Linked DNA regions of Elephas maximus indicus. Each later gene encodes a partner of the first gene's protein in a complex. Links are inferred from orthologs where the notes say so. Each region holds a gene or a part of one and is shown on either strand. Other genes may lie near its edges. The genes, in order: MAP3K5, DAB2IP and ARHGEF6.

Region 1 (10,715 bases):
CCGATTACCTCTTGAGGCAGAAAGTACAATGGCTGTGAGTAGAGAGTAGATCTGGAGATGAAAGCCCAGGCAGAGGTAGCAAAGTCAGGACTTGAATTCATCGTCTGGCTCCTATCCCACCATACTAATATGCATTCAAATGTTTCATTATATGCACAGCTCTTACATTTGTAGAAGTAATTTGTGGCCCAGGGTGATTTTACCTTCCTCTAATGAATTTTGTTTGCTGAATTCATGGGATTATCTTGATCCAATTTCAAGGTTTGAGGTTTTTTTTTTTTTTCTCCTCAGATGCCTGGAAGCATGGTTGCTGTCCATGTAATTTGACTTCTTGTTCACCCCTTTCCTAGGTTTAACACTCTTATGTTGGTTCTTGTTGTTGTTGTTAGGTGCCGTCGTTAGCGACCCTATGTACAACAGAACAAAACACTGCCCGGTCCTGCGCCATCGTTATAATCGTTGTTATGTTTGAGCTCAGCCACTGTTGCAGCCACCGTGTCAATCCACCTCGTTGAGGGTCTTCCTCTTTTCCGCTGACCCTGTACTTTGCCTAGCATGATGTCCTTCTCCAGAAACTGATCCCTCCTGACAACACGTCCAAAGTATGTAAGATGCAGTCTCACCATCCTTGCTTCTAAGGAGCATTCTGATTGTACTTCTTCTAAGACAGATTTGTTTGTTCTTTGGGCAGTCCATGGTATATTCAATATTCTTTGCCAACACCACAATTCAAAGAGGTCAATTCTTCTTTGGCCTTCCTTATTCCTTGTCCAGCTTTCACATGCATATGATGCGATTGAAAATACCATGGCTTGGGTCAGGTGCACCTTAGTCTTCAAGGTGACATCTTTGCTCTTCAACACTTTAAAGAGGTCCTTTGCAGCAGATTTACCCAATGCAATGCATCTTTTGATTTCTTGACTGCTGCTTCCCTCGGTGTTGATTGTGGATCCAAGTAAAATGAAATCCTTGAGAACTTCAATCTTTTCTGTGTTTATCATGATGTCGTTCATTGGTCCAGTTGTGAGGATTTTTGTTTTCTTTATGTTGAGGTGTATTCCATACTGAAGGCTGTGGTCTTTGATCTTTATTAGTACTTCAAGTCCTTTTCACTTTCAGCAAGCAAGGTTGTGTCATCGGCATAACACAGGTTGTTCATGAGTCTTCCCCCAATCCTGATGTCCCGTTCTTCTTCATATAGTCCAGATTCTTGGATTATTTGCTCAGCATACACATTGAATAGGTATGGTGAAAGGATACAACCCTGATGCACATCTTTCCTGACTTTAAACCAATCGGTATCCCCTTGTTCTGTCCGAACAACTGCCTCTTGATCTATGTAAAGGTTCCTCATGAGCACAATTCAGTGTTCTGGAATTGACACTCTTCACAATGTTATCCATAATTTGTTATGATCCATACAGTTGAATGCCTTTGCATAGTTAATAAAACACAGGTAAACATCCTACTGGTATTCTCTACTTTCAGCCAGGATCCATCTGACATCAGCAATGATCTTCCTGGGTCCACGTCCTCTTCTGAAACCGGCCTGAACTTCTGGCAGTTCTCTGTCAATATACTGCTGCAGCCATTTTTGAATGATCTTCAGCAAAATTTTGCTTGTGTGTGACATTAATAATATCGTTCTATAATTTCCACATTTGGTTGGATCACCTTTCTTGGGAATAGGCATAAATATGGCTCTCTTCCAGTCAGTTGGCCAGGAAGCTATCGTCCATATTTCTTGGCATAGATGAGTGAGCACCTCCAGCGCTGCATCTGTTTGTTGAAACATCTCAATTGATATTCCATCAATTCCTGGAGCCTTGTTTTTCACCAATGCCTTCAGAGCAGCTTAGACTTCTTCCTTCAGTACAATCAGTTCCTGATCATATGCTACCTCTTGAAATGGTTGAACACTGACTAATTCTTTTTGGTATAATGACTAAGACAGACTAGAAAGAAGGACCTGGCAGTCTACTTCTGAAAAGCATTAGCCAGTGAAAACCTTATGAATAGCAGTGGAACATTGTCTGATATAGTGCTGGAAAATGAGCCTCCCCAGGTTGGAAGGCACTCAAAAGATGACTGGGGAATAGCTGCCTCCTCAAAGTAGAGTCGACCTTAATGACGTGGATGGAGTCAAGCTTTCAGGACCTTTATTTGCTGATGTGGCACGACTCAAAATGAGAAGAAACAGCTGCAAACATCCATTAACAATCAGAACCTGGAATGTATGAAGTATGAATCTAGGAAAAGTGGAAATCATCAAAAATTAAACGGAACGCATAAAGATTGATAACCTAGGCATTAGTGAGCTGAAATGGACTGGTATTGGCCATTTTGAATCAGACAATCACATAGTCTACTATGCTGGGAATGACAACTTGAAGAGGAATGGTGTTGCATTCATTATTAAAAAGAACATTTCAAGATCTATCCTGAAGTATAACACTGTCAGTGATAGGATAATATCCGTACACCTACAAGGAAGATCAGTTAATACGACTATTATTCAAATTTACACACCAACCACTGGGCCCAAAGATGAAGAAATAGAAGATTTTTATCAGCTTCTGCAGTCTGAAATTGATCAAACATGCAATCAAGATGCATTGATAATTACTGGTGGTTGGAATGAGAAAGTTGGAAACGAAGGGTCAGTAGTTAGAAAACATGGCCTTGGTGATAGAAACAATGCTGGAGATCGAATGATAGAATTTTGCAAGACCAACGACTTCTTCATTGCAAATACCTTCTTTCACCAACATAAACGGCGACTATACACATGGACCTCGCCAGATGAAACACACAGAAATCAAATTGACTACATCTGTGGAAAGAGACAATGGAAAAGCTCAATATCATCAGTCAGAACAAGGCCAGGGGCCAACTGTGGAACAGAACACCAATTGCTCATATGCAAGTTCAAGCTGAGGCTGAAGAAAATCAGAGCAAGTTCACGAGAGCCAAAATATGACCTTGAGTATATCTCACTTGAATTTAGAGACCATCTGAACAATAGATTTGATGCATTGAACACTAGTGACCAAAGACCAGACGAGTTGTGGAATGACATCAAGGACATCATACATGAAGAAAGCAAGAGGTCATTGAAAACACAGGAAAGACAGAAAAGACCAAGATGGATGTCAGAGGAGACTTTGAAACTTGCTCTTGAGCGTCGAGCAGCTAAAGCAAAAGGAAGAATTGATGAAGTAAAAGAACTGAACAGAAGATTTCAAAGGGTGGCTTGAGAAGACAAAGTAAAGTAGTATAATGACATGTGCAAAGAGCTGGAGATGGAAAACCAAAAGGGAAGAACATGCTCGGCGTTTCTCAAGCTGAAAGAATTGAAGAAAAAATTCAAGCCTCGAGTTGCAATAGTGAAGGAGTCTATGGGGGAAATATTAAATGACGCATGAAGCATGCCAAGAGGATGGAAGGAATACGGAGTCATTATACCAAAACAAAAACAAAAACTGTTCTTCTAGATGTTGTAAAAAATGCACTTTAGCCTCTCAGCAGCCTAATCCAGATCCACAAAAATACCCAAGCCAAAAGCAGCCTCGAAGGAAGGCTCACTCTCTGGATTCCTGTTGTGACCCTAATACTCCCCAGCATGTTTTCTCCTTTTCAAAATGGCCGACTGAGAGCTTGACAGATCTAAAGCCTTAAGAACCTCTAGGTTTTTCTTCTTCCTCTGCCTGTCTCCTCCTTCGCATACCTTTGCTAATGACTTTGTTTTGACCTAATGCTAACGACTTTGTTCTTTGTTTTAATCTGATGCAGATAAGTTTGTTTTGTTCTGTCCACCTGTGATTTACAATTCCCTACAGGAAAATCAGAGCCCAGGTGTCTGACGTGTTTATCTTTAGCCTGATAAAGAGATGTCTGGCATGTATCTCTTGAGTCTGATAGTCTCTTGTCACTATCTTGTAATGAATAACTCCTCCAGCCAGGCCATCTTCGGGCTACAAAGACACTTCTAACCCTTGTAAAGTTCTATATTAAGCTCTAATGTAAAATTACTCTTTGGGACTCCATAGAGACAACCTGTGTTGCTGCTGGGCCCCCACGATGTATACATCTCTTGAATAAACTTTCTCACTCTTTTTGACTTTCATTGTCTTGACTGCTCCAGGGCACGGACCCTAATCAGGCAACGCTGTCCTCTTTTCCAGAATCTGGCCAGGTATTTCCTCATTAATACCATTATCTCTTTGGTGCCTTTATGCATGTATTTACAATTTTTTTCAGCTTTCTTACTGTTCTTTAGTCAGAGGGTTGATCAGAATGATCTAATCTGTCATAATCAGTAGCAGAAATCTCTTTCATATTTCTTCAGTCTTATATGATGAAAATGTGTTGCTCTACCCGTAGGTGTTCTCAAAGGTGTCCCAAAGTTCATCTCCAAATATAAGTGGGATGGACTCTGAGTGAGAACATAATTATGGCCAGAAAATTCCAGTTCTGCTGATATTATAATTCTATCATTTATCGAGTGTGATTGAATCCTTGTCAAAAGCTTCTAGAAATGCCTATTTGTAGTAGGGCCTAAGGGATACATTGCCTCTCTGTTTCCTTGGATTCCTTTTTTCCCCCCAAACAGAATGCCAAATTACATGTTTTCATTGAGAAATACAATCTCTCAGAATCTACGAGCTGCTCCTTGGAAACCCTATGGGGCAGTTGTACCCTGCCATATAGGGTCACTATTGGTCAGAACTGACTGGATGCCAAAGCATGGGTTTTTAAAATGAGAACGCTAAATTGTTCAGCAGTTGGAGCTAACCAACTGATAATAACAAGCACAAGCTTTGGAACTTTTAAAATGAAGAGTACCAGGGACAGATCCTGATACTTTTAGTTTGCCACTCCTAGAGCGCCACTGTCACAAATAAACCACCCTCCAGTTTAGGCTCTTGGTTCCAGGGCGTTAGTTGAGATCTTCAGGCCTTATGCAACGCGGGGATCCCGGGGCCATTGGGCCCTTGCCCTGACCACGCGGCACGCGGCCCTGGTAAACGCTGAGGAGCGCGCCCGGCAGGGGCCGGCAGGGGGCGCGGTGGCTGCGGGGAACGCTGCCATTACCTCCCGGACTGGCTCGGAAGACCCAAGAATTCGCCAGAGAGACTTTTTTGCTCCATCCTGCAGTTGCTTGGGCTCCGGGTTTTGTCTACTCCAGCTCTTCTCAGGTAGAGGCCCAGTTGGTGACGGCAGAAAAGCTTGGCTGCGCGTCGCGCCGGGAAAGGGCTGAGGTCCGGGAGCGCGGCACGGTCGGTTCCGTCCCGGCTGGAATCTCCCAGCAGCGCCCTTCCCCCGGGCCGCCTTGCCTCTCCGTACCGCGACTAGTGGGCGGCAAGAAGGAAGTGGGTGGCCGAGAAGGCGTGCGGCTGCAAGGAAAGAAGCGATTCCAGTGGCGAGGCTGTGCTGGATACAGCGGCCGCAGCGATCCGAAGAGAAACGAGGACGTGGGGAGGAGGAGGAATTAGGGCCGATGAAGAGGAGCTACCACCGAGGAGAGAGGCGGATTCTTCCGGCTGCAGCTGCCGTGGTTCCCGGACGCAGCCCCGGGGGCCTGCCTGCCCGTAAGGCGCTAGCCAGGTAGCTGTGCTCCCCGAGGGCCCCCGCCCTCGCTCCTCCCCGCGCTTGGGACGGAAAGAGTGGGGCCGCGCTGCAGGCGTCTGGGCGCACTGAGCCCGAGCGCGGCGCCCGAGAGCCGCACGGCGGCTCAGGTCGGCGAGCCAAGAAGAGGAAGCGTTGTCCCTTCGCGCCCTGCTCAGCGTCCCCACCCCTTGCACTCTCAACCTTGCAGCCGGCGAACAACGCGGCCACGGAGGCGCCGAGGAGGAGCGAGCCGCCGCCGGGCAGCGGCGTGCCCCCGGGGGAGAGGGCGCCCGAGAGGAAGCGGCGGCGCGGCGGGGAAGGCGCGGCTCGCGATGGCAGCTGCTTAGCCGGGCGGGCGCGGAGCAGCCCCGAGCTGTGGCTGGCCAGACGGGGTGGCGGGGCGGGGGACGCCGCCGCCGCCTCGCCGGGAGCGATGAGCACGGAGGCGGGCGAGGGCATCACTTTCTCCGTCCCCTCTTTCGGCCCTTTGGGCTTCTGCACCTTCGCCGAGGGCGGCAGCTGCCGGAGGGGAGGAGCGGCGGCGACTGTGGAGGGTGAGGAGAACCAGCAGCCACCGCCGCCACCCGGTAGTTTCTGGAACGTTGAGAGCGCCGCCGGCCCTGGTACCGGCTGTCCCGCTGCCAGCTCCGGGGGCAGTGCCACTCGGAGCCGGGGCAACTCTGGCAGCGGGGGCGGCCGACGGACCACCGTGGCGTATGTGATCAATGAAGCGAGCCAGGGGCAGCTGGTGGTGGCCGAGAGTGAAGCCCTGCAGAGCCTGCGGGAGGCGTGCGAGGCTGTGGGCGCCGCGCTGGAGACCCTGCATTTTGGTAAACTGGACTTTGGGGAGACCACGGTGCTGGACCGCTTTTACAATGCAGGTGCGTGTGTAACCCCTTCCCATTCTTTGCGGCCCGTGGCCACGTGTTCCCTTGTCGCCCTTTGGATTTTCCCCCCTAGGCAGGAGGCGCGCTTGGTACTCATTCACTTCTTGCCTCACCTTGGGGGTGACGAGGGGCGCCGCGTGACCCTCCTCTTGGCGCTCGCAGCTGCTGGAAGAGAGTATATGTGATTGTGCAAGAGACTGTGTGCGTTTGTGCGAGAGACTGACTGACCCAGCCAGCGCCGGGCGCTGAGCTCTGCGGTCCGCGTCGTCCAGGAGAACTTCAGTTCTTCAAAAGTATTGGAAAATTGCCCCAGTCAGCTTTTCTCCATTCAGGGTCTCGGTTTCACTTGTTTGATTGGACCCATGTTTTCCTTCTACGTATACCTATGACCTCTTTAGATGACGCCTACTCGTTTTCTCTCTGTACTTTTGGGAGTACAGAAATGATGAGTTATGCCACGCGGCCGGCTGCATGCAGAGTGTATTTATACAGATTTGCCTGTCATGTCATGACCTTCCCAACTCATTTTACCTTCAACGAGTTTTAGTCCTTTGAATTTCCCATCCCTTACCAAATTGAACTGTCAAGTAATTACTTCCAAAAGTGATAACCTTGTAACTTAAACTAAACTGGTGTGATATCTTTGTTAGGATTATCGGTGGAAGAACCAGGGTCTGTTTTTTATTGCCCCATATACGTTTTTTTACGCTGGAAGGTTTATAATTTAACATTGTTGAGAATGCTGATAGGCTATCTTGATAACTAAGATTAGATTGTCCATTAAAGTGATTGCTAGCATAATCCATGAAAAAAATGTATTTCTTCAACCTGTTCCAGATTTCAGAAAATGTTATGCAATTCTGGTGACTGAAGCAATCAATTATCTGTTAGCTACAAAGAGTTTGGAGGTTTTTTTTGGTTAGGAAATGTTAGGCATAATAACATGTTATTGAAATTAATCTTTAGCACCCTTTACAATCACTGTTGAGAATATATAAATATTTTTATAATTGTAGGTGGAAAACATGATTTAATTCTGGTTTTGAAAGAGCAAGTTTCTTGCATTTTTGCTTGCATGAATGTTTTTATTTTCCAATCTTATTTTCAGTTCTGATTCTATTCAGTCTCTTCAAAACACCTGAAGAAGGCTTATGCCAACTATGGAATTCAGCCAATGCTGAATATTTTAAGAACAAGAAGAACTTTACGTAAGGAAGCCAGACTAAATAAACGAGGACTTTCTGGATCTGGTCTTTTTACGGTCTTGGTCTTCCCAACTGAACATGAGTGTAATATATTATAGCTTGTATTTTTGGGTGGCTTGCTATAAAAGTTACATAAACATAACTTTTCTAAAAATTATAGCACTCTTATTTTTGGATTATAACTTGGAAGATATGAAGAAAGCGTCAAAGAACTGAAAGATGTGGGAGAAAAGCTCCCAGCTATGTACTTGAGCCTATTTTTATTGCACTGATAGCTTTTTTTTTTTTTTTAAGGCCCTTACAATAAATCTTAAACCCAATGGTGATTTGAAAGAAAGTTTCCTAACAAGGCTCACTTAGTGTTTATTCTCCAAATACTGCCCCTGGGAAAGGGAGAGAGGAAGATTAGGAGGGACCTGATATTTGAACTGTATTTTATTTAATCCTCCAAATAAGCCTGTGAAGGAAGTACTTGTTATGCTTCTTAGGTGGGAAAACTGAGGGATACATAAGCAGCCCTAGGTCACATAAGAGCCCTGGTGGTGCAGTGATTAAGCACTCGGCCACTAACCAAAGGGTCAGCATTTTGAACCCATCAGCTGCGGCAGAAAGATGTAGCAATCTGTTTCTGTAAAGATTACAGCCTTGAAAACCCTATAGGGCAGTTCTACTCTGTTCCGTAGGGCTGCTGTGAGTCAGAGCCGACCCTGTGCCCATGGGGTTTAGGTCACGTAGGTAGTACGTGGTCAGAGCAGGTTCCATTGCAGGTGGAAGACCCTGAAAGATCACGGGTGGGTCATGTTCCCTCCATCAGATGGGCTCAACTTAGAATTAAGGGAAACTACAAAATTGACTTGATGGCAGCGGGTTTGGTTTTTTTGGTTTACCCACATGGAATCGTGTGACGGAGAGCTGGCAGGACCTTTAGAGCCACTGAGGTGCAATGTGGAATAAGGGGGAGGGCACTCTCTGGGGGAGACCCATGTTCCCAGGTCTCCTCTGTCCCACTGCTTTGTTTAACCTGGGCAGGCCCCATTTCAACCCCTGCCTACCTGGGTGATATAAACTCTGTACCCTTCTGCTCAGCATGAAGATGTGACAGTATAACGTTAGCAGTTTCATCCAAACCCTTTGTTTTTCTAAACCGAGGGCTGGAGAGTTTGATAGCAGTAAAACTTGCCTTCTGTCTTCTAAGAGAAGCCTTGTTCGTCTCTACCAGGGGTGTGCAAACTTTATCTGTCAAAAACCAGACAGTAAATATTTTAGATTTTGCTCTCCATAAGGTGTCCCTCCCAACTACTCAACTCTTCCAAAGTAAGAGTAGCCATGAGTAGTACGCAAACAAATGATCATGGCTATGTGCCAATAAAATTTTACTTACGGACATTGAAATATAAATTTCATATAATTCTCGTGTGTGACAAAATATGACTCTTCTTTTGATTTTTTCCCCCAACCATTTAAAAATGTAAAAGCCATGCTTAGTTTGCAGGCCATGGAAAATTAGGTGGCCTACTGGATTTGGCCCGTGGGCCATGTTGACCTTTTCTCTGCAACTACTACCTCCCACTTGAAAGACAAATCATTATGATATAGTGGGAAATCACATCTCTTCAAGTAAGTCCTGGTTCTGTCATCAGCCACCCAGTTTTGAACAAGGCCCTTCATCGTCTACAAATGGAGGTTCTTTGCCTATAAAATCGACCAGGGTGAAGGTAGATGGGGAATTGAACTGATTTATAAGATTCCCTTGTATATTCCCGTGAATTTACAAAGTAAAGGCAGCATGGTGTGCTGGGACAGAGTGTCGGAGTAGGAGTTTCAAGGTCTGAATTTTGGCCCTGGTCCTTCTCTAATTTGGAGCAAGTCATTTAAAATCTTAGAAAATAGTGGAGGTTTGGGTTAATTGGTATCTGAGGTTCCATCTAGTTCTCAAATACTGTACTTTAAAATCACAACGTTGTTAATATAAATGAATCATTTCACTCCATAGATACTGGTGAACTGCTTGTATATGTCATGTTTCCTGCCCTGGAAGAGCTCACAGTCAGTGGGGAGGGTAGATTCAGTGCAGAATATAGTAGTGTCATTGTGAGGGTCCATACAGAGTGGGTTGGACTCCTGGTCCATTTAGAGTAAGATTGAGGATATGGTGGAGTTTGAGGGTGGCTTCCCAAAGAAGGTGACACCTGAACTGTACTAGAAAGGCAAGCAAGGATGACTTGACCAGGGCTTCACATTTAGAAGGAAAACGATGGTGTTAAAATAGCTCAACTTACTGTAATGATTAAGAATTTAAGGCTTGGTTACATTTTTTATAAACTTAGCGTATCTTTAGAGACCTGGTGATGCAGTGGTTAAGAGCTTGGGTGCTGATCAAAAGGTCAGCAGTTCAAATCCACCAGCCGCTCCTTGGAAATCCTATGGGGGAGCTCTACTCTGTCCTATAGGGTCTATGAGTTGTAATCCACTCAATGGCAGTGGGTTTATGGATTACCCTATCTTTGTATAAACCAAAAACAAACAAACAAACCCATTGCTGTTAAGTCAGTTCCGACCCAGTGACCCTAAGGACAGCGTAGAAATGCCCCCATAGGGTTTCCAAGGCTGTAATCTTTACATGGAGCAGCTGGTGGGTTTGAACCACTGACCTTTCATTTAGCAGCTGAGTACTTAACCACTGCACCACCAAGGCACCTCTTATCTTTGTGTTTTTAAAGAATAGATTGCATTTAAAGATTTGTATTGATTTTCCCTATTTGATTATTGTTTAATGATATTCCTAGTTTGTTGTTTTGACTATACTTGTCATTTTCTCTTTCATCCTCATACTTTTGCTTTATCAATGCTTTATGCAAATTCATCTTATTTACATATACAAGAAACTGTCACTCAATGGCAAATGTCATGGCAACAACACCGCTTCTCCTCCCTCAAGAGAGGTCAGTGATACAGGGCTGCTTTGAATCAATGGAAAGACTGAAACTGGCAGGATCTCAAAAAAAATTTTTTT
Region 2 (10,233 bases), on another chromosome or scaffold:
CAGCCCCTCTGGTCGCCCGGGGGATGTGGAGTCCTCTCAGCCCATCACTGGATGGGGAAGAAGGAGCCCAAGACGTTGAGCTTCAGCTCCAGGCCCAGGCTGGGGGAGAAGGGAGGGCTCCGAGCCGGGCTGGGGCCCAGGGCCCACCTGGAGCTTGGCAGCATTTCTGGGTCAGGGCAGGGAGAGGAAGTATGTGGAGGGAGTTGCTCCAAGCCTGGCCATCTGGGCTGAAATGCCGGCTTCGTGAGTGGGGGTAGGGAAGGATGGGATGGAGCTGGGGCCCGGAGAATGGATCCCAGCCTCTCCCTTCCCCAGTAGTCAGGTCTTGGGATTGGAGCCCTGAGTTTTGGGAACAGAAGGCTGATGTCCCAGCTAGCCTGGCGTGGTAGGCCAGGGTGCCTGTGGGTGGCCAAGCAGGCATCAGGCATTGTGGGAGGCATGGTCCAGACAACTGAAGGGAAAAAGGGGTTTTGACAGCTGTATTTAAGTTCCAAAGTGGAGCACCAACCTGAGGCCAGACCCCATATGTGATCTCTTACAAGTCTTACTCCCTCCCAGGGCCTCAGTTTCCCCATATGACTGCTATGCTGGAGTGGGAGGGGCAATGAGACCCTCAGTGATTGAGGAATTGGTGCTGGATCCTGCTAGTGATAGATTAAGCAGGGTCCTTGGGCAAGTTCTCAGGCCTCAGCTTCCCCGGTTCTCTCACTGACTCTAAAGCTTCCTTTCAGCTCTAACATTCCAGGATTTTAGGACAGGCTGTTATCACATATGAGGGAGATATGTCCTCTTCTCTGGACCTCTGGAGGACAGGAGTGACACGCAGGTGGTGGTCTTGGGGCTGGAAGATATTTCTAGGTGCTGACAGTATCCCAGGAAGATGGGCCAGGCAGAACTGTCTCATAGCTGCTTAGCATGTTTCAGAAACCTGAGGCCCAGAGATGTCAAGGGGCTTTCTTTGGGTCACATAGTATGACATCCTCCCTCCCCTCCCCAGCTGGCCTTCAACCTTAGAGCCCTGACCTCTTCATCGGGCTTGTCCCTCGGGCCCAGCTTTGGATGACTTGATTTAAAAAGCACTTGTACCCCGGAGGCCTTGGGCTCGTGGCCTCTGTGTATTCAAATGTCTACCCTTGATGGGTCCCCAGTTCTGTCTATGTTGGGAGGGACAGAGCCATCTAACCCCACATGTTCTCAGCCCTGACCAGACCACTTTCTGCAAAGGGTGGGAGTTCGGGGTCGGGGGGAGGGAGGGGAGGGTCAAGGCAAAGGATGCCTGGCAGGGCCTCCAGTGGTGAGTGAGACCCCGCAGGACTTGTCTGTGTCTCCTGCTTCACAGAGTGCGCCCTGGCTCCAACCTCCCCCAGCTCCCCGATGAAAATCCAGCTCCTGGTCCAGCCTTGTTCCCGGACGAACGGTGGACACAGGAAGCTGTCACTGCCGGCCAGACGAGCCACCTCCCAAGGCAGAGGCCATGACCTTAACCACGAGTGCCCCCTCACCTCTCCATCCTACCCACACCCCTGTGCAGGGGTCCAGCAACTGACTCAAGAATTGAGACTGGCCTGGGAGGTGATTGTGTTCAGGGCTGTCTAGCTGGGGGCTGCCCCTGGTCACCACCTCCTGCACTGTCCCGACAGGAAACCTGACAGGTCTGAGCCTTCCAGACACCCATTGTGTGGGGCCTGGTGAGGGCTCTGATGCTTCCCCTGTTGGGGGGGACTTCCGCCCCTCAATCTAGGCCTCCTCCTGTCCCTTGTCAAAGCTTGCTTTTAAAGAAAGTTCCAGGCTATTACACAGCCCCTCCCCCCACCCTCCAGTTTGTGTTTCATGAAGTCCTGGTCAACCTTATGACCTTTGCTTTTGCCATCCCTTCTGGGTTCAAATCCTGGCTCCTTCTTGAGGTAAGCCCTCTGGCCTTACTTACCCTTTCTCTTATATTTTCTGTAAAATAGGGTGGGTAACTGTCTGCCTCATAGGGTCATTGAGAAATTGAGTGCAATAAAGTGTGAAGAATGCTGAGGATAGCATTTGGCTCACAGTAAATGCTCAGTACATCTCAGCTACCATTATTATTACCAAACTTCACCCTCGAATGAACCTTTTGAGGTCAAACTTGTAGCCCTCCTCTGTTGGGGAGGTCTTGGTTTCTATGGTTCCCTCCAGCATGAGCATTGTTCTTCCCTGGATTGTCATTGTTAGCAGCCGTCGAGTTGGTTCTCCAACACGAGGCATAATGGAATGAAACGCTGCCTGGTCCTGCAGCATCTCCATGATGAGTTGCAGATTGGACCGTTGTGATCCATAGGGTTTTCATTGGTTGATTTTTGATAGTAGATGGCCAGGCCTTTCTTCCTAGTCTGAGTCTGGAAGCTTCCCTGAAACTTGTTCAGCATCATAGTAGCACAAAAGCCTCTACATGCGGTGGCTGCACATGAGGTGCCATGGTCAGGAATCAAACCTGGGTCTCCCACATTGAAGGTGAGAATTCTACCACTGAACCACCACTGCCCCATCCTCCCTGGGTAGGGTCTAGCATTTAAAGATAACCAACCCGTTGTTGTTTTCCTCCCATACAAAATGTTTTCTTCAGTGCAAACCAGGCCTTTTTGCTTTGTGCTCAGGTGAATAAATGGATAATCTGTCTTAACACTGGAAACACTGGTGGTGTAGTGGTTAAGTGCTATGGCTGCTACCCAAGAGGTCGGCAGTTCGAATCTGCCAGGCGCTCCTTGGAAACTCTATGGGGCAGTTCTACTGTGTCCTGTAGGGTCGCTATGAGTCGGAATCGACTTGATGGCAGTGGGTTTGGTTTGGTGTTTTTGGTCTTAACACTGGAGGAAAAACTGTCCTCTGTGGGCCATCTAAGGTTTTTCATGGGTAATTCTGATGATATGCTTCTTTTTCTCTTTCTGCACTGACTTTAAACCTAACACCTCCTAGTAAGATGGCTGCACTGGGCTGGCCTGGCAGCCCTCCTTCCCTGCATTTGGATGCCTCTCCTAACCTGGAGCCCTGGCCTGGCCCATGGTTTACCTGGACTGTCAGCCCAGCTCCCATGCTGCCCACTACTCTCAACCTTTAGGATACCTGGATGCTGATTGTTCTCTGCCTGGAGGGCAATTCTTTGGATCCATTCTTCCTGGGCTTCCCTGTGGCCTCTTAGTATCCCTATTATTCAAGGTATGGCAGGAGTACGGAGGAGGGTCTGTCATTGGGACTCGGGGTAGACTTAATCTTTAAGGAGGTGATATTTGAGCTGGGTCCTGAGGGATAAGGAGGAGTTTGCTAGGTGGGTGCTGAAGGAAGAGCTTCATGGCTAAGGCCAGAACTGGGAAGGAGAAGGAACGCATGCAGTGCCTCTGGAAGGTCTGAGGCAGATACATCAGGGTTGCTGGAGTGGGAAGGGGTGCGAAGGGAGGCAGCTCTTTTGTGATGGAGCTTCGTTCTTTTTGGTGCTCTGGGCATCCTCCTTTTCCGGAAAAGGATGAAAGTAGGAGTTAGTGGCAGTAGGGTTGGGTCAGGTCTGATTTAGCCAGTTCCCTGCCCGGCACTTAGGAAGCATGCAGATTTCCTGGCCCCATCCAGACCCACTGAATCAAGCATCAGGGGAGAAACCCAGAAATATGTATGCTTAAAGAGCCAGGGGTGATTGGGAGGCTCAGCGGTGTAGAAACCATGGAGGCCTTGACCTCACCCAAAGCAGCACATGAAGGTGGAAGCCAGGCCTCTTCTGGAGCCCTTCTGGAGGCAAGACAGAGGTGGGCGGGTGGGGGTGGGGCAGGACTACTGGCCAGACTGTTAACCCTGGAGGGTCTGAGGCTCACAGATCAGCAGGGCAGGGATGCTAATTCTGTCTAGGGCAGTCACAGAGGGCTTCTCCTTAAGCGGAGTGTGTCACAGGAAGCAATGAGATGGGGAGGGAGGGATATTTTCTGAGACACCTTCCTCAGTCCAGGCGGTCTCTGGAAGTGGGGGTTGCTACTCTGTTTGGAGGGAGAAAGCCACAGGGGCAGTGAGTGGGGGACTGTTGGAGGGGGTGGGTGAGTTGTGCCTCTGCAGCAGGATTGATCCCAGATGCTCTGCTGGGGCTTGCAGGGAGCAGCCTTTGTCTGCCTGTCTGCCCCCAGAGGTCCTGGGCCAGGGGGAGGGGCAGGGAGCCCAGGACTTCTCCTCACTCCTATCTTGCCTTTCTACTTTGTACCCCAACCCCAGCCCCAGTGCCTGACAGGAGGCCTGTGGAGGTGATTGGCTCTTGCTTGGGATGATTGACATTGCCTGTTCCCACTCCAAGGCCAGGCGGCTTCCTATTCATTATCTGACCTTCCTCCCTCCACAGGTAGATCGATTGGGGACACGTAATTTCTCCTCGCGGGAAAGGAAACTGAGGCACAGAGAGGGACCTGAGGAGCCCAAGCATAAGCTGGGAGACCGTGTTTATAGACTGAGGTCCAGAGTTCCTGGCTACTTCCCTCTTCCCTCCACATACCTAAGACTATGTGCTGGGAGCCCCAGGCCGAGATCACTTGCTCCTGCTACTGACCAGAGTGTGTTGGCAGTGAGCCTCCCATCTCCTCAACAGGAGGCTAAAACCTGGCTGATCAGGGGATTCCTGCTTTGGGAGGAAAACTGGGCCAGATGAACCCTGGAAGCAGGGTTGTTGTCCGCACATTGGGAGCCCTCCACTCCCCCAAACTGGTGGGTCCAGCTAGGGAGGTTATTTATTACTGGATGTGCCAAGGCATGAGTGGGTGGGTTCTGGTGGCCCTGCCAGAAGAGAATGCATGCTACCATGGGCCCACGACTGAGGGACTGAGGTGCTGAGGGACTGGGTGCGAGCTCTTCCCAGGGGCATTGCCCTTTGAAAGAGGCTCCTGGGCAATGTCTAATGTTGAAAATAACGTAGAGCAGTGCTTAATCCAAAGCGGGCTAATGGTGTCCTAGATGGCTATGTGGTCTTCCATCTTCTCCTGGGACTGGCCAGTAGTCTGGCTGTCTTTGCCCTTTTTGTTGGGATAGCTTTGGACTCCCCAGACTAGGTCTGGAGGAGCAATACCCCTGCTACCCCTCCCCCTTGGTCCTGGGAAGGCGCCTGGCTTCCAGCTGTGATCCAGGCTTCTGCTGACCTGGGGGCCCTCCCCCCTGGTTGAGGGAGGGAGGGAGGGGGCTCCCCCTGTGAGGTGCAAAACCCGGCCTGGATTCTTGCCCAGACTGCCTGCTATCTCCAGGGCCCCAACTTTTCAGCAGTTCAGAAGGTGGACCCCCAGACTGCCTCAGGCACCCACACATGACCCTCCCCGCACACACACCTAAGACGGCATATAGGGGATCCCATGCTAAGAGCACTTGCCTCTGCCACACCACTGTTTTTCTGTTGACTGGGGCAAGTCGGACTTCCCTGTCAGGGCCTCGGTTTCCCTTCTGTGCTTGAGGAAATAGAACTCAGGCAGATGATTGCCTGATGGTTTAAAGAATAAATTCCGAAGCAGGGGTAGGGGAGAGTAGGGAATAAGAGGAGAAAGAGAGAGATCCTTGAGGGCCTGGATGGTCAGGGAAGGCTAGAGGAAGTGTGCTGTAAAGGATGGACTTTGGCTAATCAAAGAAACGTACATGGGAGGCAGTTGGGGCTGGGAGTAAAGCAAAGAGAAGTGAGAAGGAGCAGGGGAACCGTGGAAGTGAGGCTGGAGGGCAGTTTGGCTGGGGCCTGAGTGTTGAAGCCCCAAAGACAAGGGAAGAATGCATGGGCTTGTTGGCACTGGGCTTTGGGCAGCCATGGAAGGTTCTTGAGCTGGGAAGTGAGTGACTTGGTGAAAGTTTTTCAGCCCGTTGCAATTGAGAGAGTTGGAACGCTCCCTTTTCCCAGCCTCAGTTTCCCCTCTCTACAGCAGGGTAAGAATTGTTCTCCCTGTCCCCCTCCCTCACTGCCCCAGGCCTGCCAGAGTAGGTGTAAATGTCCAGAGGGATGCAGACTTTGCAGTATCTGTGGTTTTTATTTATGGATGTGGGGGGGGGGGTCGGGGGGGTAGGGTGTCTAAATCAAAGGGGGCAAAATGTTCAGATTTGGCAAAGTCTGCTGGTTGCACGGGTGTTGGTTATGTACTCTCCACTTTTTGTGTGCTTGAAATATACACCACAATTTTGATTATATAAAAAATAATGTGTATCAAATGGGACAATCCTTAAAACGTAAAGAATAGGCATGTATTCTGCCTGAAAGCAGAGTGTTTCAACCCAGCTGGGGCTAGACCCGATGGGTTCGATTCTCAGCCTGGTGAACTTGGGGCAAAACTGGGTAGTCCCCTTCATTCGGACTCTAATTGACCTTGACTGTTTCCCTGGACCTCGGTTTCCGCGTAGCGTAGCTGCCTGGAGGCCTTGCATGTGTCCTGCCCTGTGTCCCGGATCGCGCACACGCGGGAGCGCACCATCTACACCCGCCGCTGGGATGGGGCGCCCCGTGCGCCCTGGGATCGGGCTTTGAGTCCTCAGGCGCTGGGAGACGGGGGAGGCCCTCCTGCTTCCCTACGTGGAGGCCTGGGGTTCCGGGGGTTCTCCGGCCCGCCTCGCCCCTTAGAGTCCAGGCCGGGATTTCCCCAGCACTGACTTTCCGGGCCGGTGCCAGTCCGGCCTCCTGGTCCCCAGCCCCCGCCGCGGGGCCGGCTGCTTTGGGGAGGAGGAGGAGTTTGAGCGACTTTGTGGGGCAGCCTTGGCCTCGGCGACGGCGGCCGCACCAACGAGCGCGGGAGAAGGCAGGGACGCCCGCCGGGCGGTCCGGAGCGGGCGATGGGGCCCGTGTGAGCGCGCCCAGCCCCGGCCCGGTGCCCGGCGGGCGGCAGCATGTCCGCGGGCGGCAGCGCCAGGAAGAGCACCGGGAGGCCCTCCTACTACTATCGGCTGCTGAGGCGGCCCCGGCTGCAGCGACAGAGGAGCCGCTCCCGCAGCCGGACCCGTCCTGCCAGGGGTAGGCGCGACCCCCACTCCTGACCCCCAGACCCTTTCCACCACCGCTTCATCACCTGATGCCCCGGGATGCCAGGGACCCAAGATCCTCCTGCTAGCCACTTACGGGGGAGCCCTTCATCCGCCTCTCCTGGTGCCCACTAGTCCGTCTGCGGGACCCCCATTACCTCCAGCTTCTCCCTCATGTGCACCCTCTTGTGTCTTTAGTGTTTTCCCTGTGCCATAGGCAAGGAGATGGGAGATTGGAAGCCAGGGTTCTCCTCCTTTGACCTCTCAGATCAGACCTCCTGCCCCACTGTGCCTCAGTTTACCCGGCAGGAGGGCATTAAGTGATCCAGGATGGACCCTGGCTTACCCTTGCCTCACCTCCACTGCCCTGGCCTCCCAGCTTCGCCAATCCTGCACTTCTTCCCTTTCCAAGGACTTAACTGACTCCCCTCTTGGGAGGGACAGGTGAGGGATCCTATCCCAGGGATCCTTGGCTTTGAAGGAGCCAGAAGCTGAGTGGGTGGGTGGGCCTTACCTCCTTTGAAGTTTCCCTTCTTCAAGCCCTGGAAGCAGGGGAGAGGGGGAGGTGCAGGCAGCATTTTCTTTTTCCAGTAACTGGATCCTCAGCTGGAAATGAGTGTGATCCAGGGGGCTGCCTTCAGGGCTGGGTGGGGGCCAGGACTTCCTTTCCTGGCTGGGTGGGAGGAAGGGAGAGAGGTCCGCTGGAGAGGCCAGAGTCCTGGGCAAAGGCTCAGGCCCTCCTGAAGGTGCCAACAGAGCCAGGGGTGGAGCTGAGGCAGCAGCACTCATAGGGACCTGGGTTGCTTTTTTACCACCTGCTTGTCAGAGGAAGCTGGGAAGGCTGGCCCTGTGCCTGCCCAGACGGGGTTTGAGCAAATGCTGTCATGGAGTCTGCAGATCAGGGTCTAACCTCTCCAAGTGCTGGTTGTATGACCTGGACCTGTAACATTGCCCTTCAGCATCACTAAATGTTAGTTTTGCTTCCCCGCAGAATGGGGAAGACTTTTCCCATAGTTGGGGCTGAGCAATGACGTACAGGGCTTCCTCAGGAAGTAGTGAATTCTCTGTATGGAGAGATTCAAGCTGAGTCTAAGGGTGTGCACAGGTGTGGACCAGAGTTCAAGCCTCGAGGTTCTCTCGAGGCCCATGGTTCCCCAGTCCTTGTCTTCCCTGAAGTGGCCTCTGGCTACCTCCCACCCCCTCAGTCTTGGCCCTGGAGACCAGAGATCTGCATTCAAGCACAAGCCAGTGTGACTTTGGACAAGTCACTTCCCCTTTCAGAGCCTCAGTTTCCTCCACTGTAATATGAGTGTGGCAGTACTGGGACGATTTGGTGAAGAAACAGGTGCATACTGTGCCAAGCAGGATTTGTACAAATGTCCAATAATGCTCAGGCCACCCTGGGGCCTCTCCTACACCCACCCCAACCTGCCCCTCTCCTCACCTTGGAAATGCCTTGTGTAACCTTTCCCTTAACTTTTCACCTCAGTCCAGTTTCCTCCCTGGCTGCCAAGGCACGGAGAGGAACAAGAGCTCTCCTCTCAACCAGTTCTGCTGGCTGGGAAGGGGACAATCCATGTGTTGGCCTTCCCCTGAGCCCCAGCTCCCAGGCCCCACAGGTATAGGAGCCCTGCTTTGTGCCCCACGCCTTGAAGGAGCTCACAGCCTGCTGGGGGTAAGGAGGAGACTGTCAATGAGCAGAAGTTACAACTGAGAAATCAGGGAGAGCTTCACAGAGGAGGTGACATTTGGATGGGATCTTACAAAATAGATAGGATTTCCTTTGGCCCAGGGAGTGGTTGAGTCAGAATTGGGTTCAATTCCAGCTCTGCACATAACTATCTTTAGGCCGGTTACCTCACCAAGCCTCAGTGATCTCTGCTGGTAAATGGTAAATGGGATAAAGACGGCAGAGTTCTAAGAATGGGAGTAGGAATGCATGGAAAGCTGGAAGCCTGTGTTCGGGGCTTGGGCCACAGGCGTGTGACCTATTGTCATTTCTCTGGGCAGAAGGAACAGCTCCTGCAAAGACAGGAAGATGGAAAATGCCTTGGGCATTGTGGACAGAGCTCTTCCTGGGGGAGGGGTAGAGGGTGGGCTGGGGAGGGGGAAGAGCAGGGAACAGAGCTTGGGGCCTGACTGAGTGAGGGGAGTCCTGGGGGGTGGTGAGAGCTGCTTGGGAGGGGCACTTAGGCAGGGCATGAGTTGGAGGCTAGAGGCCCCCTGTCCTCCTGGGTGAGAGGCTGCTGGAGCAGGCACTGACCTCCCTCCACTACACCTCCAGAGTCCTGACTCCACCTCAGGGCTGCCTTCTCACTACTCCTCCTGAGGGCAGTGCTCTCACCCAGGTGGTAACTCCTGCTGGGGAGGCCAGCGCCTGGCTTTAAGCCAGTCCCTTCCCACCTCAGGCCTCAGTCTCCCCATCTGTGTGGCGGGTTGGCTCTGTGGGTATGACCTTAGACCACGGAGGAGGGAGTGGTACCTAGCACCCTGCCCAGGTCAGGCCCTTGCTCCACACCTGTTCTGGTCTCTGTACTAGCCAGGAGGGAAAAATGACTGAGACTCTGGGGAGGGGAATTTTCAGAAACAGGAAAATGCAGGGAAGAGTAGGCAGGTGGCGGGACCTGCGGCTGGCCAGGCTGGGTACAGGGTTGTGGCCTGGATGCTGCCTCTGAGCAGGCTACCTACCATACCTGCCCACCACTGGACTGTCACTGTCGAGTGGTGGGGAGGGTGCTCACTGGAGATTTGAGAGCAGGACCTTGCCCCAGGCAGGGCTGCCAGTGAGGGACAGCATCTGCAGCTGCACAGGTTTGACCAGCTTGGGGCACTAAACAAGGCACTTCCTCTCTCTGGGCCTGGGTTTTCCCATCTGGAGAATGGGCAGAGTGAGACCTGCTGCTGGGGGCACGAAGCTTGATGATGGCCAGAGACAGGGTGTTAACAGTGACCTTTGGATGGCAAAGGTCATCTGGCTGTGCCATATGGTGCCTTGTGACCTTGGAGTGTGCCCGAAGGTTGCACATGGTCCTGGATTTGAGAGGTGTCCTATCCCCAGAGGGTGTTACCAACCAGGGTGCCTTCTTACCTTTCCCCATCGTAATCAAGGAAGGACTCGTCTGTCTGACTTGTCTCACCCCCTAGGGCTTCTGGGGGAAACATAAGTATTCCTCTAGCCCTGAATAAAACTATGGCCCATTTACTCGCCAGCAAAGATATCATGAGCATCTACTATGGCTGGGCTCCAGCCTGGCCGCCAGGGCC
Region 3 (10,335 bases), on another chromosome or scaffold:
TGTCTCTACTGATTTACCTATTCTGAATATTTCATATAAATGGAATCTTATAGTACGTGGTCTTTTGTGACTGAATTCTTAGCATAATGCTTTCGAGGTGCATCCATGTTGGAGCACGTATGAGTACTTAATTCCTTTTTATTGCCAAATAATATTTCATTGTATGGATGCAACACATTTTATTTATCTGTTCATCAGTTAATGGATATCTGGGTTGTAGAAATGTTTTGGCTATTATGAATAATGCTGCTATGAACATTTGTGTAAAAGTTTTTGTGTGGACATATGTTTTCATTTCTCTTGGAGTGGAGTTGCTGGGCCATATGGTAACTCTATGTTGAACACTTTGAAGACTTGCCAGACTGATTTTTACAGTGGCAGCACTATTTTGCATTCCCACCAGCAACGTCTGAGGGTTTCAGTTTCACCAAATTCTCACCAACCCTTGTTTTTACCTGTCTTTTTTCATTTTAGCCATCCTGGTGGGTGTGAGATGGTATCTCATTGTGGTTTTGATTTGCATTTCCATGATGATTAATGATGTTGCATATCTTTTCAAGTATGCATTGGCCATTTATATATATTTTTTCTTTGGAGAAATGTCTATTGAGATCTTTGCCCTTTAAAATTGAGTTATTTGGGGTTTTTGTTTTTATCATTGGGTTGTAAAAGTTCTTATGTATCCTAGATACATGTCCCTTCTAGGTATATCATTTGAAAATATTTTATCCTGTTCTGTGGGTTTTCTCATTTTCTTGAAGGTGTCCCTTGAAATGCAAGAGTTTTTTAATTTTAATGAAGACCAATTTGTTTTTTTTTTTTTTCTTTTGTTGTTTGTGCTTTTGGTGTTATGTCTGAGAAACCATTGCCTTATTCCAGGTGATGTAAGCAGTCATTTTGAACTGAGATGTCATGCTAAAAACCACAAAGTAGCAGGAGAGTAGAATGCTGGGTATCTGATGACCATGAAGCTACCATGCTAGCCTCGCGCAGCCAATTTTTGGATTTATTTTACATAAGAATAAGATAAATTATTTAATTAAAAAAACAACAACTTTTCTTCATTAAAACACACTGAAGGATGAAAAAACAAAGGTGGAAGATATTTACAAACACATATAACTAAGAAAGGTTTAGTGTCCATAATGTATACCAAACTTTTATAAATCAACAACAAAAGACAAAGAGTTCAGTAGAAAAATGGGCACTAATTATGAACAAGTATTTCACAGAAGAGGAAATATATATGGCCAATAAACAAATGAACAGGTGTTCAACCTTATTAATAATCATAGAAATGTAAATTTCACACCCTGCTTGTGAGAGTGTAAATTTGTATAATTTTGGTAATGGTTTTAGCAGTCCATATGAGGTCAAGGAATAGTTGTACTAGTAAGCTGGAAAGGTGGTAAATGATGGTTAGAGAGTGGAATAATCGATTGAATTCGTGATTTAGGAGGCAGAGAATTTTGTGTCCTGACCAAGTCCAAGGTGTGACCTTGTAAGTGGGTGGCTGAAGTGGAGAGAAAGAGTTCATTGAAAATTATGAGGTATATCAGTCTGGGTCCAACCAGGAGGGAGAAACCACACAGTAATTTTAACAGGGAAAGTTTAACATAAAAGAATTATTAACTATAACAGGAGATTGGAGTAATGAGGGATTGGCTAATAAGAAGTAAAGAGAACCCTAAAAAATAAGAGAATAGAAGATATGACATATAATAGTAGACATAATATAAAAATAATACATAATAACCACCACCTCTAGAGCTAAGATAGAGGCCCCCCCCCACTACCAGGAGCCCCCCCCCACCACCACCACTACCAGGGACAGATTACCCAGTATACAAGGTAAGCATGTGCTTAGGGCATCAACAAAACAGGAGCACCAGTTATCCAAAGCAAAAACCCATAGACGCAGAGCAGACAGAACACAAGGAAAAGTGAGCACACAACAATGATTCGGGAAAGACTTGACTCATTATCCTTACTATGTATGGAAGTAGGTATTGTCTGGCAGCTTGATTATGATGAAATCACTGAAGAATTTGTAAGAACAAAGAATAGAAAGAAATGTTTTCGGTTATAACATATTAAAAAAAAAATTTTTAATCTATCTAAAAATAAAATACAGTAATTTGTTGTAATATTTGTTTTCTGATCCTTAAGTTTTCTTTTTTTAATTGTGCTTTAGGTGAAAGTTTAGAGAGCAAATCAGTTTCTTATTAAAAAATCAATACACAAATTGTTTTGTGACGTTGGTTGCCAATCCCATGACGTATCTAACACTCTCACTTTCACCACCCAGGTTCCTTGTTTCTATTCGTCCAGTTTTCCTGTCCCTTCCTGCCCTCTCATCCTTGCTTTTGGGCTGGTGTGCCCATTTAGTCTTGTATACATGATTGAACTATGAAGCACGGTTCTCACATGTGTTATTGTTTGCCCCATAGGCCTGTCTAATCTTTGGCTGAAGGGCAAGCCTCAGGAGTGACTTCAGTACTGAGTTAAAAGGGTGTCTGGGGCCATACTCTTGGGGTTTCTCCAGTTTCTGTCAGACCAGTAAGTCTGGTTTTTTTTTGTGTGTGTGTGAATTCAAATTTTGTTCTACATTTTTCTCCAGCTCTGTCTGGGACCCTCTATTTTGATCCCTATTAGCGAAGTTGGTGGTGGTAGCCAGGCACCATCTAATTGTTCTTGGCTCAGTCTGGTGGAGTATGTGGTATTTGTGGCCCATTAGTCCTTTGGTCTAATCTTTCCCTTGTGTCTTTGATTTTCTTCATTCTCCTTGCTCCAGCCGGGATGTGACCACTAGATGTATCTTAGATGGCCTCTCGCAGGCTTTTAGGATCCCAGACGCTACTGAGCAAAGTAGAATGTAGGATGTTTTCTTTATAGACTATGTCATGCCAATTGAGCTAGATGTCCCCTGAGACTGTGGTCACCAGCCCTCAGCCCAGTAACTAAGTCCCTTAGGGAGTTTGGATATGTCTGTGAAGCTTCTGTGACTTTGGCTTGGTTACATTGCACAGACTTCCCCAGCATCGTGTACTGTCTTACCCTTCACAAAAGTTACCAGTTATCTACCTAGTTAAGGTCCCCCACCCCCACCTTGTAACCATTCAAAGGTTTCTTTCTGTGTGGAAACTTTTTCATGAGTTTTTATAATAGTGGTCTCATACAATATTTGACCTTTTATGATTGACTTATTTCACTCAGCATAATACCCTCCAGATTCAACCATGTTGTGAGATGTTTCACAGATTCATCATTGTTCTTTGTTGTTGCATCGTATTCCATCGTGTGTATGTACTACAGTTTGTTTATCCAATCATCTGTTGATTGGCACTTAGGTTGTTTCTATCTTTATGCTATTGTGGATAATGCTGTAGTGAACATGGGTGTGCATATGTCTAGTCGTGTGATGGCTCTTATTTCTCTAGGATATATTCCTAGGAGTGGGATTGCTGGGTCATGTGGTATTTCTATTTCTAGCTTTTTAAGGAAGCACCATATCATTTTCCAAAATGGTTGTACCGTTTTGCATTCCCACCAGCAGTGCATAAGAGTTCCAATCTCCCCATAGCCTCTCCGACATTTGTTATTTTCTGTTTTTTTGATTCATGCCAGTAATTGCAGGATGAGACGGTATCTCATTGTAGTTTTGATTTGCATTTCTCTAATGGCTAATGGTTGTGAGCATTTCCTCATGTATCTGCTAGCTGCCTGAATGTCTTCTTTGGTGGAGTGTCTGTTCATATCCTTTGCCCATTTTTCAATTGGGTTATTTGTCTTTTTGTTGTAGAGGTGTTGGATTTTCCTGTAAATTTTAGAGATTAGACCTTTGTTGAATTTGTCACAGCCAAATTTTTTTTTTTTCTGTCTCTAGGTTCTCTTTTTACACTTTTGGTGAAGTCTTTTGATGATCAAATGAAAAACCAAACCCACCGCCATCAAGTTGATTCCAACTCATAGCGACCCTATAGGACAGAGTAGAACTGCCCGATAGATTTTCGAAGGAGTGCCTGGCGGATTCGAACTACCGACCTCTGGGTTAGCAGCCGTAGCACTTAGCCACTACGTCACCAGCATTTCCTTTTGATGAGCATATGTGTTTAATTTTTTAGAAAGTCCAGTTTTCTTTTATGACTTCTTTTCATTTATAACATTTCTTATGAAACAAACATCGAAATTGAAGTATGAGAGGTTTAAAGCAAAATCGGTTAAAGTTATTGTTTTGTTGTGGGAGATCAACAGAATTTTACCTTGATTGTTGAGACCACTAAGTTCACTGACTCATTTTCTTTGTTGTAGAATATGTGGAATGTTCTTTTTGTGGAAAATGTGGTATATAGTAAAAATCTGAGTACCCTGCACCCACTAAAAATTTTATAATCCAGTCATTCCACTAAAATGGCACAAGCCACTTTTGCATTCAATTGCTAATATTATGGTCACATTTAAAAAGAAGTTACATCATGGTTAGCTAAGACACACACACACATACATATATGTATCGAACTCATGTATCCTGTTTGAATGTGTGAGTAAGCAGAGGAAGGGGCACCACAGGTTATCAGTGTTTAGGGTCCTTACATGCCTTGATCCATCCCTGCCCACTACGCACACTCCTAGGGCTGAGATCCAGACCTTTTTAGAGAAGTTGCTGTGGTGCGGAGCTGGTGGAACTTAGTAGACATCTGATCTCTGGAACTTGCTGAAAATGTGCGCTCTAGGGTGCTGGCTTCCTGTTAACAGGGGAGGTGTCTCACTAGAGGCACTCTACTACAAAACCACCCAAGGCTGGTGCCAGGGGAAGCTCCTGCTTACTGTGCATTGGGGAGGCCAATGTTGCAAAAGGCAGGCCCTAAGAAAGCTGGGAGTTCTGCAGAAGCCTGTGGAATGAGCATACAGGAAACAGGAAGTAAAGCCCCTTCTTCTTGCACTCTCTCTCCACCGCTGTCTACTGATAAAACTTCACATCAAAGTAAAGTAAAAGTAAAAAATATTGAAGGGCCCCAGGCTCGTTTTCACAGTGCAGGCAAAAAGGGGGAGTCGAATCAATTACTACTACAGGAGGTCGAGGAACTAATGGTTATGACATTGAATCGTTTTCTTGCGGATATTGAATTAACCCAGGTGTTGACAGAAGTTAAGGTGGAGTCGAAGGTCAAGTGGAGTGCTTTAATAATATGGATTCCCGTTTCCCATGGCAGACCGTCTGAATTAGAACGTCTGAGAATAGGGCTCAGAAATCTTCTTTTTAACAAGTGCTCTAATAGATTTAAAATAAAAATAATTAATTATGACTATTTCAAACATGTAAAAGAAAATAGTACAACAGACACCACTGTACCCAGCATACAACTTTAACAAATGTTAGCATTTGGCTTATTTCCTGCAGAACTCCTTTTTTTCCCCCTTGTAGTAAACTGGTATCTATTTTGGCTCAAGGAGTCTCTGGGTAGAGCAAATGGTTAAGCACTGGGCTACTAACTGAAAAGTTGTTGGTTCAAACCCACCCAGAGGTGCTTTGTAAGAAAGGCCTGGTGATCTACTTCTGAAAGATCACGGCTTTGAAAACTCTATGGAGTGGAGTTCTACCCTGAAACGCATTGGGTCACCACGAGTTAGAATGGACTCCAAAGTAAGTAGTGGTGGTAGATTTTGTCTCAGGTTCCATCTTCTCATTCCGTTCTTCTCCCTCCCTCATTAGAAGTGATCATTATGAACACTCTTTTTTAAAAATTTATTTTATTCTTTGTTGTTAATATACACAGCAGAACATACACCAATTTCTACATGTACAGTTCAGTGACATTGATTACATTCTTCAAGTTATGGAACCCCTCTTACCCTTGTTTTCTAAATTGTTCCTTCCCCATTAAGATAAACTCACTGCCCCCAAGTTTTTTAATCAACTCTTTTGAGTTGCTGTTGTCAATTTGATCCCACGTAATTGGTGCTTTAAAAGAGCACAATGCTCAAGGCAGACATTTTTTACTAGTTAAGTTAAAACTTGTTTGGTTTAAAGAAGACTTCAGAGGATATTTTTGGTTTGAGGTTTAAAGGTTATCTCAGGGAAATAGTTTGGGGGGTTCGCACACCTCAATGGCTCCAGAAAGTCTAGATTCCATGAGAATTTGAAATTCTGATGAACATTCTTTTTTGAATACCACTGCCTTAGGCAATGGAGAGCCTTCGAGGGTATTTGAGCAGGGGTAACACGCACTGCACTATTGAAGAAGTGTTTCTGGAACATCTAACTGCGCTCTTCCAGAGACTTCGTTAGGGAGAGAGAATGGAGGTGAAGAAGCCGGTGAGAAAGCAGATTCAGTGGCCCAGGGTGTATGTACTAAGGATCTGAAGTAAGGTGAGAGACCTTTGCTCCTTTTACTCACACTCTGTCTGAAAATTGTTCTTAGTAGACATTGTGACCTCCAGTCTTTCACCCTCTCCCCATTCTCCCAGTTCACCAGCTCCTTTCCATCTTCACTTGCTTCCTTACCTAGCCTGGACTCCATGGTTAGTCATTTCCCTTATATACTTGCTATTGCTGTTGCTGTTAGTTGCTGTTGTGTGGATTTTGACTCATGGCAACCCCATGTGTGCGGAGGAGAACTACTCCATAGGGCTTTCAAGGCTGTGACCTTCCAGAAGCAGATTGCCATGCCTGTCTTCCTAGATACTTCTGGGTGGATTCAAAGCGCCAACTTTTGGCTGGTAGTCCGGTGCTTAACTGTTTGTGCAACCCAGGGACTCCTCAGAATTACTTGCTTTCTTGAGATTTTACCATACCATTCTAATCTCCAATCTTTATACTATAGAGCTCTTTCTTCTGCCTTGAGGAGGTGGCCTTACCTTTCTAATTTATTGTAATCTATATAGTGTCCACAATGAGGGCTTCTCAGATTATTTGCTCAGTACACAGATTGAATAGGTATGGTGAGAGGACTCAACCCTGACACACACCTTTCCTGACTTTAAACCAATCAGTATCCCCTTGTTCTGTCCGAACAACTGCCTCTTGATCTATGTAAAGGTTCCTCTTGAGCACAGTTAAGTGCTCTGGAATTCCCATTCTTCTCAATGTTATCCATAATTTGTTATGATCCACACAGTCGAATGCCTTTGCATAGTCAATAAAACACTGGTAAACATCTTTCTTTATTCTTTGCTTTCGGCCAGGATCCATCTGACATCAGCAATGATATCCCTGGTTCCACGTCCTCTTCTAAATCCAGCTTGAATTTCTGGTGGTTCCCTGTCGATATACTGCTGCAGCCATTTTTGAATGATCTTCAGCAAAATTTTGCTTGCGTGTGATATTAATGATGTTGTTTGATAATTTCCACATTCGGTTGGATTACCTTTCTTTGGAATAGGCATAAATATGGATCTCTTCCAGTCTGTTGGCCAGGTAGCTGTCCTCCAAATTTCTTGGCATAGATGAGTGAGCATCTCCAGTGCTGCATCCGTTTGTTGAAACATCTCAATCAGCATGGAAAAATGTCTGGTTTAAGCCATTAAAAACAAACAATCATTATAGTCATGTAGCGTCTATACAGGGACACCATACAAGTACATTCATCAGTCAGCAGTTTTGAACATCTACTGTGTACCAGACACTGTGCTGGGAACACAGCAGTAAACAAGACAGATGAGATCCCTACTCGAGGGAGCTTGTGTTCTGGTGGGGGAGATAGATCAATAAGCAATAACATAAATAAAGTGGCGTAAGTGTCGTGACAGAACAAGAAGAGACAGCCTTGAAAGTATTTAGCAGAGTGATTTAAGCTAATTATTTGGTAGTAGGTGCCTGAACCTCTGTTGAGAAGGATTGTGAAGCTTAGCAGGAAAGAGCTAGATTGGCTGGCAGTGTCTGCCCATGCATGAAGTAAAGGGGTAGTGGTGCATTTACCCACATACCTATTGCCATTGAGTTGATTCTGACTCATACCTACCCTACAGGACAGAGTAGAACTGCCCCATAGAGTTTCGGAGGAGTGGCTGGTGGATTTGAACTGCTGACCTTTTTGGTTAGCAGCCTGAGCGATTAACCGCTTTTTTTATTAAAGGTTGATCTTATGATAAATTTCCCAATAGTGTGACTATTTCAGCTGGTTCTGAAAATATTTGAGGATAATGAAGATCTTTTCTTACAGACTAACTTTTTTTTTCCCCAGAGAATTTTGTTTTTAATCAAGTAACTTTCCTTTATTTCCTAATAATAGTTATGACAAATAACCTTAAAGACATACTGTAAGGGATGTTACTTGCCATTTTATAGCTTAAAGTGTGTTTAGATGCCATCCCCTGGTGGTTTTGAAGGGTGTTTTTTTTTTTTTAAGAATGTTAAAATGTTTTATATACCTGTTGCCATCAAGTTGATTCCAAGTCATGGAAACTTCACGTGTTACAGAGCAGAACTGTTCCATAGGGTTTTTTTTTTTTAATTTTTATTGTGCCTTAAGTGAAAGTTTACAAATCAAGTCAGTCTCTCGTGCAAAACGTTATATATACCTTGCTATATACTCCTAATTACTCGCCCCCTAATGAGACAGCACACTCCTTCCCTCCACTCTCTATTTTCGTGTCCATTCGGCCAGCTTCTGACCGCCTCTGCTCTCTCATCTCCCCTCCAGACTGGAGATGCCAACATAGTCTCAGAGAGCATTTTTAATGCGAAGTGTTTCTTGTTGGGAAAACATCAGCCTCCCTGACCGTAGTGTAGACAGTGTGAACAAGTGCTCTTTTGTTCTCAGATGTTCTGTTTTCAAGTGTATTTTACTCTCTCATGAGACTGTGTCTGAGCCTTTGCTAAGGGTACTACAGCTGGATTGCGTGGTGGAACCAGGTCCAGAAAAAGAATTGCTAAAGAATGCAAGTAAACAGGATGTCAGATGTTATCCTTAGCCCATTTCCCTAAACATAGCTTTTTGGCTGCAAAGTAAAATGCCATTCTTCTAAGCTTCTGCTTATACACAGAGATGGCTGACAGCAGGCACAATCTTCATTCACTTGGCACGTTGTCACTGTACAATTCAACGTGTTTTGCAAGAAATGATCATGACACACCATCTCTGTTAGATAGTATGATGACATCCAGCCTTTTCTTGGAGGAAGAATTTTCTTAGCCTTACCTTCTTCAAGCCCTGTTGTGCCAGCACAGCTCCCCACGAGGTTCAGACCTGTCTGACCTAAGAGCCAGTTGGCATTCTCCTCCTGACAGAAGCCAGATTTTCACTGGGACTAGACTATTTATTGACAGCATTTTCCCAGACTGGCCCATGGGTGTCTCCTTTCCAAGGTCCCCTGAAGGGCTGGCTCACCTCTGTTTTCCAAGAGCACTTGTTTCCTACTCTCTGCTCCCTCCCCAGCATCTTCCTCACTTCCTTCCCTTACAGCTTCATGCACTGGTTTTTTTTTTTTTTTCCCCCTCTTTGGGGGTGTGACCGTGTGTTCTTCTTTTTTTAATCCTAGCCAATGTGTTTTGTAGGTTTTGAAAAAGGAAACCAGTGCTGTCCAGGATTGCCACATTCATTCTCTTTCCTCATCTTTGAGTGTGATCTCCGTGGTTTGAAAATCCCATATTTTGAGTGGGTTCCCCTGTCGGTCTAAGGAAAGTTGTTTTAAACCTTTGCTTTGCACGCACCAGAAGAGAACTCATAAAAAGGAAGACAACAGCAGATGCAATCGCGGATGTGGCTTAGTCCTTGCAGCTGCCCCGGAGAGCTGTGTGGAGCTTACAGTCCTCAGCAATGAATCCAGAAGAGAGAATCGTGACATGGCTTATCTCTCTGGGAGTTTTAGATTCTCCCAAAAAGACCATCTGTGATCCGGAGGAGTTCTTGAAGTCCTCGCTGAAAAATGGGGTAGTGCTGTGTAAACTTATCAACAGACTTGTTCCTGGCTCTGTGGAAAAGGTAAGGTAGACTTGCCTATCTTTGGGATTGCTTACCACCAGAGAGCAGCAATAGTGCAACTCTTGGAATTTTCTATCGCCCAGGTTGTGGGATCTTTTACTTTAATATCTTTCTAAGGGTTAGATATTCTTTCTTACTGTGTGTGTAGTCAGAAAAAATCAGAAAACAAAATCTTGTCCTGTAGTAATTGGACCCCAAATGTTGGTATAGTAAAAATCTTTCCACCGCTGGCAACAGGGGACAAGAAGACACCCATATCACAAGCTTGCTCTGTCACAGAACTGCACGCTACACCTTCCTGTGTACCGAAGACATGTTTTGAATTTGGGGACATATGAGTCTGTGGAATAATGGGATGATTTATAATCAATATTGATGGTGTTTGTTGACAGTTTGACTAAGATTAACATAG

What was found.
Region 2: MAP3K5 (region 1) and DAB2IP share a complex: the UniProt entries of both Homo sapiens proteins name them as parts of the cytoplasmic complex. The link is inferred for Elephas maximus indicus from reciprocal best matches to the Homo sapiens genes MAP3K5 and DAB2IP.
Region 3: MAP3K5 (region 1) and ARHGEF6 share a complex: the UniProt entries of both Homo sapiens proteins name them as parts of the cytoplasmic complex. The link is inferred for Elephas maximus indicus from reciprocal best matches to the Homo sapiens genes MAP3K5 and ARHGEF6.

What each region holds. Positions count from the first base shown.
Region 1 is NC_064819.1:206,446,448-206,457,162, reverse strand, and holds the start of MAP3K5 (mitogen-activated protein kinase kinase kinase 5), read left to right. Parts: upstream 1-5,611; 5' UTR 5,612-6,043; coding exon 6,044-6,491; intron 6,492-10,715. UniProt on the Homo sapiens protein: Serine/threonine kinase which acts as an essential component of the MAP kinase signal transduction pathway. Plays an important role in the cascades of cellular responses evoked by changes in the environment.
Region 2 is NC_064827.1:71,756,070-71,766,302, forward strand, and holds the start of DAB2IP (disabled homolog 2-interacting protein), read left to right. Parts: upstream 1-6,159; 5' UTR 6,160-6,837; coding exon 6,838-6,961; intron 6,962-10,233. UniProt on the Homo sapiens protein: Functions as a scaffold protein implicated in the regulation of a large spectrum of both general and specialized signaling pathways.
Region 3 is NC_064846.1:19,037,248-19,047,582, forward strand, and holds the start of ARHGEF6 (rho guanine nucleotide exchange factor 6), read left to right. Parts: upstream 1-6,283; 5' UTR 6,284-6,370; intron 6,371-9,495; exon of another isoform or gene 9,496-9,496; 5' UTR 9,497-9,758; coding exon 9,759-9,923; intron 9,924-10,335. UniProt on the Homo sapiens protein: Acts as a RAC1 guanine nucleotide exchange factor (GEF).